Linked DNA regions of Notamacropus eugenii. The protein of the gene in region 2 purifies or fractionates together with the protein of the main gene of each other region. This does not show direct contact. Links are inferred from orthologs where the notes say so. Each region holds a gene or a part of one and is shown on either strand. Other genes may lie near its edges.

Evidence for each region.
Region 1: the proteins of CCDC68 (region 2) and CEP170 purify together in Homo sapiens (co-immunoprecipitation; 3 studies listed by BioGRID and IntAct, counting the BioPlex papers as one, with this or other methods). This does not show direct contact. The link is inferred for Notamacropus eugenii from reciprocal best matches to the Homo sapiens genes CCDC68 and CEP170.

What each region holds. Positions count from the first base shown.
Region 1 is NC_092873.1:404,072,218-404,080,182, reverse strand, and holds the start of CEP170 (centrosomal protein of 170 kDa), read left to right. Parts: upstream 1-4,750; 5' UTR 4,751-5,484; intron 5,485-6,036; coding exon of another isoform or gene 6,037-6,082; exon of another isoform or gene 6,083-6,310; intron 6,311-7,965. Other genes in the region: SDCCAG8 (serologically defined colon cancer antigen 8), read right to left, coding at 1,658-1,778.
Region 2 is NC_092875.1:436,187,082-436,194,714, reverse strand, and holds the start of CCDC68 (coiled-coil domain-containing protein 68), read right to left. Parts: upstream 3,036-7,633; 5' UTR 2,870-3,035; intron 1-2,869. UniProt on the Homo sapiens protein: Centriolar protein required for centriole subdistal appendage assembly and microtubule anchoring in interphase cells. Together with CCDC120, cooperate with subdistal appendage components ODF2, NIN and CEP170 for hierarchical subdistal appendage assembly.

The DNA.
Region 1 (7,965 bases), on a different chromosome or scaffold from region 2:
ATGTTTCCCATTAAGCACGTATTAGGACCAATCAAAAGTCTAAGTAAGAAGAGGTTTTGAGGGAATCATTGTTAATTAAAAACAAAACACAAGACTACATTAGTACATTTTAACTGATCATATATTTATAACAATGATAAAATTCTCAAGCATGGATATTCAAAACACAAGGAACTACACCGAAGTAACTCCACAATATTTTGAAACATTTATTCAAGAATACACATTTTTACTTCAAGCATCTTTATTCCTCTCTAAAGCGGAAGTTTTATGTGATTTCAGTATAATTTTAAATTCTTCCTTTATAAGAACAATATAGGAGCTTCTAAATAAAATTCAGCAAATAATGTTGGACAAAATATGGAATGCTCTGAAAGATCTAGAAATCTTCCTTTGTTCCACTTCTAGATCTACTGATAAACTGAGAACAAATCATTTAACTTATTTCTACACTTTAGTTTTGCTATTTGCAAAAAGAAGAAAAACATTTTTTGACCATATACCTAATAATGAAATAACTATGACTTTGAAAGTCAATATAGTCTAGAAATACTAAGTAAAGTATAATGATTATTAAATGAGTTCTTACTACATAGTGAATGGAGCAATGGAGTTGGAGGTGTTTAGGTTAAGGAGGAAGTGACACCTTTATTGCTTCAGCTGATTTTGACTGTTCTTTAATTGTCCCAATCAGTACATTTTCTTGGGGTCCTTCCTAGAGGGAACTGACAGAAGGAGCTTGTCAGTGGGAGAGGGAGCCAGTCCTACCAGATATGCAAGGGAGGAAACCCTCAAAGAGCTAGAACTAGAACGTTTGGGCTTTATTTTCATAAAAACAAAACAAAAAGATTACTTTTATTAAACTGTTTCCTGCTTTCAAAGTGAACAGGTCTCATTTCACTCATCAGGTTCAGAAGGGTATTCATTAAATAAAGATGACCAATGTTTAAATTCCTGCCATTTCAGTAGACACAACGTTGGCTGTTTCCTACTTGAGATCCCATCAAATGTGATCATTGATTAAAACCCGAAAGTCATCAGGTGACTCACCTAGGATGACAGCAAACAGGGCTACCCAGTTCCTACAGAAACCTGAAAAGTTGGTGGTTGGGCTCGGAGCGACATCGCCCCAGGCGTTATCTGGTTCCCGGGGATAACGATCCTGGGGCAAGGATCTTTTCCAAGAGAATCTGGTTTCAATCAATAAAGGGTGCTTTGCTAACGGTTCTTGATTAATTTTAACCCAACAGCGCCTATGAAAGCCGACTTTAGAAGACTCCAGGAAGCAGGATGCGTTAAAGAGAACATCAAGAAATAATGGGGTGAGGGGTATAGGGGACAAGGCCTGGGGAACGATCATGAGAGGAAGGAGAAGCGGTGCTGGAGGGATGAGGAGGACACCCCGACAAGGAGGAGAGAAAGGCCATGTCTCTGAAGCTAAGCAACGCCCCGGATCCCAACCCTACTCCGACCCTGGGCACATCAAGCCTTCCCGGGCATCAGGCTGCCCGCGTGGCGGGGAGGAACTCACACAAGTGTTGGAAAACACACAAGTCACGAGCTACCGGAGGAAAGATCCAGGAGCGCCGGCCCAGACCGTGGAAAGAAGCCCGGGGAAGCCCGGGGCTGGGGCTGCGGTAAACGACCCGTAACTCACCCCTGAGACTCCGCTGATAGTGCCCCAGAGCCTCCTCCAGGGCAGAGTCCCCCAGAGCCTCCTCCAGGGTAGGGTCCCTCAGGGGCTCTGCCGGGGCAGGATCCCCCAAGGCCTTCGCCATGCAGTGACCCCGGCCCGTAGAAGCTCCTACAGAACCTCCTCGGTGGGCAACGGGCCCACAGCCTCCTAGCTTCCAGACCTCGCTGTCAGAGGGGCGCCTGAATGGCAGGACCTGGCTGGCGGGAGGGGGCGGGCGCTGTCCACCCGCGGGCCCCCATGATGGATAGTGGAAGTTGTAGTCCGTCAGGTTCTCGTATTGCCGCTTTCTAGACCCTGAAGAAGTCTACGGAACACTACAGTTCCCAGGAAGCACCGCGCACAGGGAAGAGACAGTTTGGCCTCCAAGCTCAGTTGCCTGGAGACAGCTTGGAGGCTCCACCCTCCCCTTCCTTCAGACTCCAAATTTCCCCCTCCCCCATTCTCGTTTCTTAGGCAGTCTGGAACACCCAACTACCAAAAAAATGAGCTTCTGAAGATCTTTGCCCTACCATTGTTGGTTGTTCTTCATCTTGGAAGAGGACCAAATGACAACACCGTGTTAAAGTGAAATTTCAGGGTGTCTGCTGTGGCTGATCAGACTGATATGAGCTCAGAATGCTCTACCACAGGATGGGCACAGGTAGTCCCCGTGAATATTTGGGCTGGATACTCCAAATTTGTGCATTCCATGTTTACTTTGTGCTGTCTCAATTCTGCTTTGTTCATAGAGCACAGCTCCCTTTCTGATATGGGCACACCATGCTGAGCAGTCCTGTGCCCGTGTCTCCCATGTTGCACAGGTAAATACAAAGTTCTTAAGAAAGACCTTTAGAGTGTCCTTGTATTGCTTCTTCTGGCCACCATGTGATCGCCTGTCCCATATGAGCTCTCCATAAAATAGTCTTTTTAGCAAGCATACATTTTGCATTGGAACAACGTGGCCAGGCCATCCCAGCTGTGCTCTCTGAAGCATCGTTTGAATAGTTGGCAGTTCAGCCCAAGCAAGGACTTCAGTGTCTGGTACCTTATCCTGCCAGGTGATCCTCAGAATTGTCCTAAGACAGTTCAAATGTAAGCTATTCAGTTTCCTGGCATGGCACTGGTAGACTGTCCATGTTTCACAAGCATATAACAATGAGGTCAGCACAATGGCTCTGTAGACCTTCAGTTTGGTAGTCAGTCTAATACCTCTTCTCTCCCAAACTTTTCTTCAGAGCCTCCCAAACGCTGAGCTAGCTCTGGCAATGTGTGCATCAACCTCATTGTCACTGTGTAAATCCCTGGAAAGTACACTACCAAGTTAAGTGAACTTATCCACAGCATTCAAAACTTCTCCATTTGTTGTAACCAATGGCTCCACACATGGATGGTGTGGTGGTGGCTGATGGAGCACCTCTGTTTTCTTGGTGTCAATTATTAGGCCAGAAGTAGCACAGGCAGCAGAGAATTGATCCATACTTTGTTACATCTCAGCTTCAGAGGCTGCATTGAGTGCACAGTCATCTGCAAACAGAAAATCATGCACCAACACTCCCTCCACTTTGGTCTTGGCTTGTAACCTTTTCAAATCGAAGAACTTACCATCAGTATGACAGTTGACCTTGATGCTGCGTTCATCCTCATTGAAAGCATTTGTCATCATGATTGGAAACATCATACTAAAAAAGCATGGGAGCAAGCACAGAGCTCTGTTTCACTCCATTGATGACTGTGAAGGCACGAGAGTATTGTCCATTATCCAGAACCTAGGCAAACATACCATCATGAAACTGACATACAATATTGATGAATTTTGACATAATTCTCCATAAGCCCTCACAACTAACAGTGTCAAAGGTCTTGGCCAGATCTACAGACATTGTGTACAGACCTCTGTTCTGCTCCTGGCATTTCTCCTGGAGTTGTCGGGCAGAAAACACCATATCAACTGTTCCCCAGCCCTTTCTGAAGCCACACTGGCTCTCAGGTAGACCATCTCCCAGGTAAAGGATCAACCTATTAAGAAGGACTCTAGCAAGAATTTTGCCAGCAATGACTAAGAGAAAGACTCCCCTGTGATTGTCACAGGACAATCTATTTCCTTTACCTTTATAGAGATGGACAATGGAGGCATCCTTGAACTCCTGGGGATAACCTCCTCTTGCCATATAACTTGGAAAATTTCAGTTAGATATTGTATGAGCAATGGTTTCCTTACCTTGTAAATGTCAGCTGGAATAGAATCAGCATCAGATGCTTTGCCACATGAAAGGATCCTAATGGCCCTCAAAACTTCTTTTTCAATTGGAAGTTCAGCTAAGGAGAGATTGATTCCAACCTGAGGAAAATAAATGGTCAATGGCCTCAGCATTGATTGATGATGGTCTGTTGAGAATACTATGGAAGTGTTAAGCCCATCTCTCTCGGATCATGTCCTTATTATTAATCAATGTGGCTCCATCAGCACTGAGTACTTGTGAAGCACCACAGGTTTTTGGTCCATAAATAGGTTTTAGGGAATCAAAAGCACTTTGGATTGTTACCATCAGAATAAAGCTGAATTTCTTCTGCCTTCTTACTGAGCCAGGAATCCTACATCTCTCTAAGCTTTGCTTTTGATGGAATTAAATGCTGCCTTCTTAGAGGTGGATGAATTATCCTGCTGGTAAATCCTGTGGAGTTCTTGTTTTTCATTTACCAGCTTCTGAATTTCCCCATCATTTCCATCACACCAGCGTTTGTGAGCAAATGCAGGGATGTACACCAAGCCTCTGAAAGTTTCCCACTCCTTTTCGGCTCCAGTATTGCCAGTTGTGTATAGGCTCAATTTTCCCTCCAAGTCAGCAGCAAACTGTTCATGCTCAGAGAAGAGCTCTAATTTGTTGACATTAATTCTTCTGGTAGTTATTTTGCCTTGGGGCGGGGGGGGGGGGCGGCGCTTTTGATGAATTCGAATATTTAGTTTGGAAAGGATAAGTCTATGACCAGTCCAGCAACTCTGCATCACATATTGCCTTTGTCACTCTCCCATCTTGTCTGTCTCTTCTCCTTACAATTACATAGTCTATTAGATGCTAATGTTTGCTGTAAGGGAGAATCCATGAAGTTTTATTGTGTTTAGGTAGAGGGAAGACAGTGTTGGTTTTGATCCATGGACTCCTACAATTAAGCGAATGAAACGTTATGACTCCTTTTTTACGGTTCCATCTTCGATTACTACTACCAGGAGTAGCCTTGGCTGGAGAAAAAAACTCAATTTCAACAGTGAAAGATGTGTAGTTCCTGGAGACTACAAATCCTAGCATGCCAAGGGAACTGGCCAGTTGTCGTGGAGTTGGCGCACTGCCCCCTGGGATCTGTAGTCCTTGTTGGTTGCAGTCCAAGCTAATGACAGTAGTTTCTTCATTGTTTCTGCCGGTCCTAGGGGCACGCTTGCGCAGTGGGCTGCTGCGAAATCGTGTGGGTGGGACAACGACCCTCCAGGCAACTCCTTTTCATTGTCTGCCTTTGGCGCCTGCGCAGTAAGAGAGAGCTGGGGGAGGAGGAGGGGGCAGGGCTCCCTCCCCGGCCTCTCCTGACGCGCCTGCGCAGTGGGCGGCCGCTCTCTGCCGTTACCGCTATGTGTGGGGCGTGTGTGGAATAACGTTATTGCCGAGCACGGTGAAGAGAACGGGGAGTCTAGGGGCGACGGCAGCGACGACGACTACGACGACTACGGCGACGGGTTGGCGGGGGGACGGCGTGCGAGAGACTCACGGGACGCGACGCGCCCCGCCTCCCCCGTCCGGTCCCTCTCGCTATGGTGAGGGGTAAGTGATGCGCTCTGCTCAGCCGCCTGGCTCAGTGATGCCGTCGCCGCCGCCTCCCCTTCTCCAGATCCTCTTTCTAGGAGAACCCCTGGTGTGCGGCCGGGCTTTCGGGGTGGGGGGAGTGCAGCTGGGAGAGGAAAAGGGGGGGGGGTGCTGCTTTCCGGATGCTCCTCGCGCCGCGCCCCCCCCCCCCCCGCCCCGGGGGATTCGGCGGCCCCGCCTCCCGGCCCCCCCCTTCCCTCTATTCCCTCCGGGCTCCGCTGGGCTTTGCTACCCAGGCGGCCTCGGCGGCTGCCGGCTGACTCCTCCCCCTGGAAATGTGCATTTATTCATTTTGTGTTCCGTGGCTTTGTGCCGCTCCTCCCCGCGCCGAGCGGAGGGCGCGAGGGGACGGATGGGCGGGCGGGAAAGAGCCGCTAGCGGCGGGGACACTCGGGAAGGGGACCAGATCGTGCGTGTGTGTGTGTTGGGTGGGGTGCGTCTGTGCGTGTGTGTGCGTGTGTGGCGGTGTCAGGTCCCGCCTGGCCGCGGTCGCAGCCCCGCCGTCCTCACCCTTCCCTCCCCGGAGGGAGGAGGCGGCCTTCGTCGTCCCCCTCATTGTCCCCGCGATGCCCCGGCGGGTGTCGGCTTTGGGTCGGGCTCCTTCCGTATGGTGCCCGGTGTGGGTCTGGAGGCTGTGGGGCTCCTGTCCGCGTTACATAAGCCTCCTCCTACGTGGGTCTCGTCTTTATTCCGGATTTCTTTTGTGTGTTTTTCCACAGCCTGTATGTAAGCCTCTGGAGGGCAGGGCCCGAGTGTCTGAGAATCTGGAGGTGTTGTAGCGCTCCGTGGAGCGAGGCTCCCCCAGGCCGGCGCCGGAGCGCGCGTGGGGAGCCCGCGTGGGGAGCCCGCGAGGGGCTTTCTTTTGTTTTCCTGCCGTGTGGATCCTGTACTGGTGTGCCTTATTTCGGAAGAGTTCTTTTGTGTTATTCTTCAATCAGCCGTGCCCAAGGCGTGCACTCGATGTTTACGTGTTTGTTTTAAGGAAACATCACCGGGTGATGGATAATATGTAGATGAAGTTTTTCATGATTCAGTTCCTAAATAGTGTTGTTTATAACTGAATACTGGTCAGACCGCAAATAGAGGGAAGGGAGGAAAGGACAAAGCAGGATGAGGAGGAAATCAAGAGAAAGGGGGAAATGCTGCTTTGAATTCTCTATCTAGGGTTGTCACTCAATTATGAAAATGCCAAGTGGTTGAAGAACGTGTTTCAGCCATTATGTGAAAGCCGGGTTTGCAGTGATTGCTTTCCAACTTTGAAGATAATTGCCATGTACCAGCATAATAGACTCATGTTAGGAAGGCACCTTATCATGTACACAGTCTCTCTGTTTTGTAGATGAGGAAGTGAACTCAGGTGTATACATTGTGTTTTGTCTAAGATTTTTTGAGAAATTAGTTGCAGTCTCCAGAGTAGCATTTAGGAATGCCTTTTCCTGAGTAGTTTTTTTTTTTTAACCCCTTTACCATAGTACTGTCTTTGCAGAGGTTGAACTGAATTTTTTATTTAGTACAGAGTGCATTTTTTTTGCAGTACTGTACATATTCTTTGGGTTTTCTTTCACAATCAGAATAATTGATAATGATTTTACACGTAAATTTTTAAAAATAAGAAGCCAAAGTTCTAGACAAATGAAATTAGGGAAATGAAACTTATGCGTAGGCATCATTAACTTGTAGAAAAATGGGTTCTAGTCCTAAAATGGACTTTTATCTGAAGATAATTTGTTATATATGCTCAATTCCACTATAAGTGATCTATCTGATCTTGACCCTCTATTACTTCTCCACCCCCAGATCTATGATGTTTTTGGTGTAGGGAACTCCAGTTAGAGGAAATTCCCTCTACCAGTGCATATTAGCAATTGTTCTGTAACTAAATCTTAGAGCATTGTTTGAGGCACTGAGAGAGTAAAAATTCTTTTCTTAGGTCACTCCTTGCTTCTCTATGATAATATATAATGTTTGCAATTGTAGCAGCCATATTGAAACCATAAGAATCAAAAATAAATTCAACAAGGTAAATAATAGTTCTTTTGTGTTCCCTGGCTAAATAATAAAAATAACTAGCACTTACATAGAGCTTTAAGGTTTGCAAAGTGCTTTACATAAGTTTTTCAATTCTCTCAGCAGTTCTATAACATTATTAATATAAGGTAACCGAGACTGAGGTTTCAGGGACTTACTCAGAATCGGACAGGTATAAGCTTCTCAGGTTGGGAGGAGAAAGAACAGTCCTGAGAGTGAGAAGCAGATTGGGAAATCAAATGAGCATAGCAAGGAGTTCTTCATGAACATCAGAGCCAGGCGCTCACCAATCAGAAGAGAGGAATGATGAATCATTCAAGTTCTGTACTTAGTATTTTGTTGAAAAATGAATACTAAACTTAGTAGGGCATTTCAGCCTATAAACTTTATGCATTTTACTGATTACATTTT
Region 2 (7,633 bases):
TTATAGGTCTTAAGCACAGTGACTGGCCCTGGTAGTGCACATCTGAGTACAGGCTCTCCCAAGCATGGCTCAACTTTCGGAATACCACTGTCACCAATACCCCGCATACAACAGAGCACACCCCTCTCACGTAATCAGCCAGTCCCTCGAGTATCTGTCTCAAACAAAGCCCTCCCACAAACCACCTCAGTCATACAGAAGAAGGATTATATTTGTTCTTTTTAGATCCCTCAGGGCAGAAGTGAGAATAATGGGTAGACTTTGCAGAGAGACAGAATTAGACTCCAGGTAAGGAAAGGCTTACTAATAATCAATGTTACCCCACAGTGGAATGAACAGTAAAAGGAGATGGTGAATTCACCTTCAGTGGAAATTCTCAGGTAGAAGTTGGGTGTCAGAATTCTGCAAAGATTAAATAACTCTCATTCATGAAACTCTATATTACTATTATGGCTTTATAGAAATGATTAACTTATGGAAACTAATGATTTTAGTGAAAAATAACATTAGAAATAAAACAGGATAAGTGGCTAGCTTGGCTAAATATTTTAAAACCTTAGCACACCGCTAATCATAGTATAAGCCATCTGATTAACTGGGTAACTTAGCTCTTAATTAATTGGGCAACGGATATCTCTCAGAATCTCAATTCCCTTATATGAAAAATGAAAGGGTTGGATGCAATCAAGAGTTCTAAAGTTAGGGTTCCCAGATTGATTTCAGGGGGTTCATGGGCTTATTTTAATACAATTAGTTTTGTTTGTAATTTTATGTATTTTACTTTATGCATTTAAAAATATTCCTCTGAGAAAGGGTCAATAGGCTTCAGGACACTGCCAAAGGCAGTCTGTGACATCAAAAAAGGTTAAGAACCCCTGGATTTCATTCCTAACATTCCACGATCTTAAGAAGATAGTGTAGAGTGCACTGTAGGCCAATCAACCACTGTTAATCAATTAGGCGAATATCAGCCTCTGTGGGCTTCAGTTCCCACATCTGTGGTTTGGGCCTTAGAAATCTTTAAGGTCCCTTTCAAATCTAACATTCTATGACTATGATTCGTAATCATAAATAAAACCCAAGTAGGCTCTGCATTTTAAAAAGAGAGTGTTTACATTTTGATCAGGAGGTCATTGATACTTTGATGTTAATACCCTCCCACCCCCAGCCTAGAATTAGAATGTTATTAACATAATGCTTTACTTCTTTCCTTGATAAATGTCCCTTTACAGGAGGGAAACCAGGGCACTTCCTATTTCTGCCTATTCCTAAGGGTAGTGGCTTTTCTTCAGTAGCTATTAAAACAAAATTTGTTCTCAAATCCTGTACAGAAAAAAAAAGCAGCCAAATGACAGCATCACCAGTTGTGTCTGCCAATGCCAAGGCACCCGAGACACCAGAAGAGCTCAGATTTCTGGAAACTGTGACTTACACAAAGGTGAATTTTTAATCTCATTAGACAGAAGCAAAACAAGAGAGATCACTGTGGTCCCCTTCCCTCCTCTAGCTAATGAATGATTTCCTTTTCTATTTCGTCACTCCTCTTGTAGCTTAGATTTAAACAATAAGGAATTGAAAGGACGTCAAAGCAAGCAAGACACATTTTTCTTACACTGACTTAATTTTTAAAAAATCCTTACAGCTCAGTGGCATATTATATTGAAGCTGATGCTGGCTTGCATCTTCTTGTCTACTGAGTTTTTTTTCCCACCAAAGGGGATAGAAGAAGCAAAATTAATTTCACTGTCATACCTAAAGCACTCTCCACTGGCCTGCTGTGTCTCTTCTACTCTTTCCAGGAAAAATGATCCTTCTTTGCAAATCACCTTATGATACTTCTACTGGAGCAGAAACGGCACGTATTAAATGACAAACCGCCCTTTTGCTTCTCTTACCTCTCTCTGAAGGCTGAGGAGCTAATACATACCGAACCATTCATTCATTTTTCTTCCTAAAAACACTGAGAGCCCCCAAATGCCCAACCGGCACCCCAATTCCCATCACAAACAAACCGTGGAGAATAGGGGATGGATGATAGAGAGGCAAAACCTCTGCAGTCATAATGCATAGACTTTGCAGAGAGACAATGTAAGCTCCAGGTAAGAAAGGGCTTGCTACAGTTACCCCACAGTGAACTGGGATGTAAAAGACGACGGTGAATTCCCCTTCGGTGGAAACTCTAAAGTAGAAGTTGTCTTCGGAATTCTGCAGAGAAAATTCCTACTTAGATTAAATGCTCCCCCATCCGTGAAACTCTACGTTCCTACTATGGGTATGTAGAAAGTTCTAATTTAGAGGAACTAATGATGAGCATACCACATGAGCATACTCTCAGTATGGATTAGAGCTATATAAGTCATCAATAAATCACAAAGAAAATGAAACATCCGTGAGACCAAGTCACACAACACCACAATCAAGCAACAAGTTGGGAAAAATCAACCTCTCCCAACCCAGGGCAGGAAAGTTCATAAGATCACCCAGACCTGAGGTGCAAGGGCCCTCAGAGGTCCATCGCCAATACCCCTTACTCATTTTACAGATGAGCAAAGAGAAGCCCAGCGCTATAAAGCATCTTGTGCAGGGTCGCACTGCGAGGGAGGGGCAGGGGTGCGATTCGAGGACCCCTTTGGGGATCCTGTGCGCTCTTCCTCCTGCCCTGAGAGTCCCAGAACAGCGCGAGGTTAAGGATGGAGAGGAAACTGACCACAGAGGAAACTGACCACCCCCCGCGACCCAGTCTAGGGAAGCGGCTCCACCGAGGCCCGCGGGGCCAGGAGGGGAAACTGCGCTGGGGGGGTCCCCGCCCCCAGGCACCTGGCGGAACCCAGAAAGATGTAGCCCCACCCTCCCTCCTGGCCCAGGCTACCTCGGGCTCCCGGTAGCTGGGGGCAGGGAATGCCCCGGTCAGGGGGCTCCAAGCGAGCACAGTCCGGGGTCCTCCTCCCGCTCCGACCCTTCCCGGGAGCTTTGGAGTCTCAGCTGCCCAGGGGAGGGGCATCCCGCTGGGCGCCTACTGGGTTCATGCTCCGCCCTGGAGGGGGTGCGGCCGGGGACAGAGTCCGGCGTCCGCCCAGGCGTGGGCTCCTTGGAGCGGCGTCCCCTGGGACCTGCCTGGGCTCTCTCCCTAGCACTTCCTCTCCTCCCGAGCCCTTGTGTATTCTGGGCTTTCCCTCCTCATCTCAGCTAAAAACTCCAGCCACCCACTAAGGACGGCCCGACACTTGAAGGTTCTGTCACCTTCCCACCCTCCTTTAAGAATACGAATCCATATTCAAACATAAGGAAATTTATTGTGCTTAATTCCAACTTCCCCACCGAATAGGAGAGCAGGAAGGGCTGGTACGATTCACAGAATCCAGGAATCCAGACCCTTCTACTTTTTTTTTTTCCAGAGAAAGTAACCGAAGCCCATTTCAAGGTCAGGCAAGGTTAGAGGCACAGCCAAAATGATCGTTCTGTTAACACAGAAGTTGTTTGGAATGCCATTAGATGATAACATACATTCAGGGACCAGTAACATAAATAAAAATTGACTTTTTAAAGAAAGTTTCACGGTAGTTATGTATTCCTCTTTAATAGCAATCGTAATTATGAAGTAGTTGTGCAGATTGTAGAAAGATAAATCATGCTCTTCAGCAAGCATGTGGTATTCCAAAGGAACCTGATAGGGCAGATCTTTTATCATTCTAACTTCCTTGTCCAGATTTTTGCTTTTTTTAAAAAAAACAAAACTGTCTTATAAACTTAGATTTCCTTTTTCTGTACTTTGACCTAGCTCTTGATCTTAGCTTTTTGGGACAGTTCTGCTCCTTCCTGTCTGTGGGAGGGAAACCACAACTCAGTTTCCTCTGTATTTGACAGGTAAACACAGGAAGATAGGACATAGCCCTAGAGAATTCCCCTTTTCTGAGATGTCACTAACAGTAGTTGTGTTACACTGGACTGAGCTCACATTTTTTTCACTGAAGAGCATGGCTTTCTTTGTGTGTACTGCCAGACACAAAATAGCTGAAAGAGAAAAGATTACATGTCTAAATTTATACTATTACCTAATTCTTCAGATGTAGGGCAGCAGCTAATTTATTTAAATAATATGGGGAAGAAGGAAGTTTAAGGGAGACTAATCAGAATAACGAAAGCCTGAATTACAGAATTTTTCTTACTTTTAAAAAAATTATTTTATTTTTAATTTATTTCCATAACATACATAGTATGATAAAAAGGATGATTGCACAGGACTGCAAGCCTTGCTATTCCTTACAAATATATATTTTATATAAACATATTTTATACATAATAAACATATAAATAAAGTTAATATTTTAAAGTACATTTTTTTGTTTGTTTTACTATTAGGTAGATACAGAAACAACAATTATCCCCAACAAAATACTTTAAAGAACTCCAGCTTCAGGTCCCTTCCAACTCTATGATGCCTATTTTCTCTGATTTCTGGAGATGGTGCTAACTCCACCTCCTTCCTCTTAATGTTGTATTTTCAATGCCCAGAAGATTGAAAGTGTAGTATCATGAATTGAATTACTTTCTATTAAAAGGGACTGAAAAACATGTTCCCAGGTGGAGATGTATTCCATTTATTTCCTGGTCCATAAATCAAATGGGCTCAGGCTCTGGCTTCTTACTCCTTGGCCTGTATTTTCCTCTGATCTGTTTTATCCGGTCCTCATTTGCCTTGGGGTCTTCTGCCCATATCTTCCTCTTCCTCTAGAAAAGCTCTTTTAGCTTAAGTACTTCTCTTTCGCCTTTACCAGAATGTTCCTCTCCAGCTTCTGGTCTTCTTCACAGTTCCCACAACCTCCAAATCTCCTAATTATCTCCTTTTTAGCTTGAGTTTTTCTCCTCCTTCATCTAACCAAGACTCTTCAAACAAAGACAAGGTGACCATTTGTCAGGTATGTTTGGACTTAATTGAAAGGATTTTTGTTCTGGTATAGACAGGTTAAACCAAATGGCCTCTGAGACCCTTTCCTTCTCTAAGATTCTATGATATTCCTCGAATCGGGAAATATCCTTAGAACAAACAAACAAAACCATATGGACTCCAGATTTGGCCCTTGTTACATGTATTATAATATGTGTGCAGTTTTAGTATTTTTTTCTCTGATGCTCTAGGAACAAGAATGGAGAATACCCATTAAGATCTTTCTCTGTGCATATACATGTGATTAAATCAAACAATGCCATCAAAATACTATTTACATCCTACTGAAAAAAAATCTGTATGGGGAACATAAAGACATATCCATTAACTTAGAAACTGTTGGAAAACAGTGGAGTTATAGGAGCAGAGGGCAGCTGAAGTCAGTTGCAATCCATTAATCAATAAGCATTTATTTGGCACCTATTTTGTGTCTAGCACTGTGCTAGACAAATTCAAAGATTTTTCAAAACTGGAGAAACGCTCTCAAGGGACTTCCTTTCTAGTCTGACATAGTGGCTTCCTAGAAACTGCTGGGCTGAGGTCACCTACGCCAATCCATGTCCTTTGCCTCCCCTGGGTTTAATGCTCTGTGATTACCAGCTTCCTCAACAGGAGGGCTAGGCTCTTAGTTCTTCAGTATCATACCATCTCCCATTCCTGAGAAACATTTCTGTTTGGGGCTCTAGTGTAAGGGGTCCTCCCTGGAGAAAATGGGGGCGGAGGGAGAATTAAAATATAAATCAAGTTGGGGATAGGTGTTTTATTCACAAAGAGAACACCAAGCAATAATAGTAATGATGATAGTGACCACTTACATAGTGCTTATGAGTAGCCAGGTATTAAAGTGGATAGAGCCCAGTCCTAGAGCCAGGAGGAGATGAGTTCAAATGCAGCCTCAGACACTAGCTGTGTGATCTTGGGGGAGTCACCTAACCCTGTAACCCTGTTTTCCTCAGTTCCTCATTTGTAAAATGAGCTGGAGAAGGAAATGACAAACCACTCCAATATCTTTGCCAAGAAAACCCTAAATGGGGTCACACAAGTCAGACACAACTGAAATAACTCAACAAAAACATATAGTGCAAGCCATTGTGTTAAGTACTTTGTAACTATTATCTCATTTGATTCTAACAACAACCTTGGGAGGTAGGTGTTATTATTCTCCCCATTTTACAGATAAGAAAACTGAGGCAAACAGAGGTTAAATGACTTGCCCAGCAGAATTTGAGCTCAGGTCTTCCTGACTCCAGGTCCAGGGACCTTTCTATTGCACCACCTAATACCTAAAAGAGAGGCTACTTTTTTGGTCATTTGCAAACAGATCCTTTGTGAGAGCTGCTTATTATCTATTTTATAATTCAACACACGCACATGCACACACACCCCCAGTACTGGCAAATCAGCACCCAAAAGGGTTTTGATTATTCCTGTTCCTAGAGGTGATTCTTTTCCTTCCAACATTTGGTCACTATCTGAGACCAGAAGTCCACTGCTGGGTGCCAAGGGAAAAAAAGACACAAACATGAAGTGGTGCCATGCAAGACATAGACTTGCCCAGGGACCCATGAGTTCATGACCTTCTGCCCAGTGGGGGAAAAGAACACCCTCTCCACCACCCTGAGAGAGTGAGACTTAAATCTCAAGGCCGGAAGGAAGAAGGGGTCTGAAACCAGGGGATTGCTGCTTTGATATCCTCAGAGTTCAGCTACCAGTCCTCCCAAGGCAAGCAGGAAGCAGAGTATGACTGGGCATCCTTTAAATTAGGAGGGGAGAATAGTAAACTGGTAAATCAGTGCATTGACTTGCAGAGATTTCATTAGTATTTAAGGAGACAGAAGGCCAAGTATTATTACTGGTGAATTCAAGAATAATCATGAGCCTATTGCCTTTTGTACAAAACTGATTTCATCTTCAAATTAAAAAAAAAAAGAAATTCTCCAAATAATCCTTTGGCACACAAACTGCTATTGCGTAGTAACCCAGAGAGTCTTCCTTTATGTAGGTCGTGTACTAGCCTGATAGGAAGGTGGATAGAGGTAAGAGTAATTGTGATATGTCTGTGTCTCACCCCACAGGCATCTTGGTACCTGCCCCAGGGAAGGGACAAGTCAGTTCACCAGAAAGGTTAAGTGTGTGGTGATTTACTGCATTTTTTACAATTATTTCCTTATTACATAGTAATTTTGGATACAACCTCATTTCGACAAGGGTGATTAATTTGAAACTGTACCATCCCTTTGGTCTAGAGGTTCTTGACCTTTCTATGTGTTATAGATTCCTTTGGCGGGGCAACTAGGTGGTGCAGTGGATAGAGCACCAGTGCAGGAGTCAGGAGGACAGAGTTCAAATCTCACCTCAGACACTTGACACTCACTAGCTGTGTGACCTTGGGCAAGTCACTTAACTCCAGTTGCCTCATCCTGGGTCATCTCCAGTCATCCTGATGAATATCTGATCACTGGATTCAGATGGCTCTGGAGGACAAGTGAGGCTGGTGACCTGCACAGCCCTCACTCACTCAAAACAAAGTCAAATGCAAGTCATGTCATTATTTCTCTGATGGCATGGTCTTCTTTGGCAACAAAGGATGAACACATACACACAGATCCCTTTGGCAGTCCAGTTAAGCCTTATAGGTCTCCTCACAGAAAAATGCATATCATGAAATATGTAGGACTACAAAAGAAA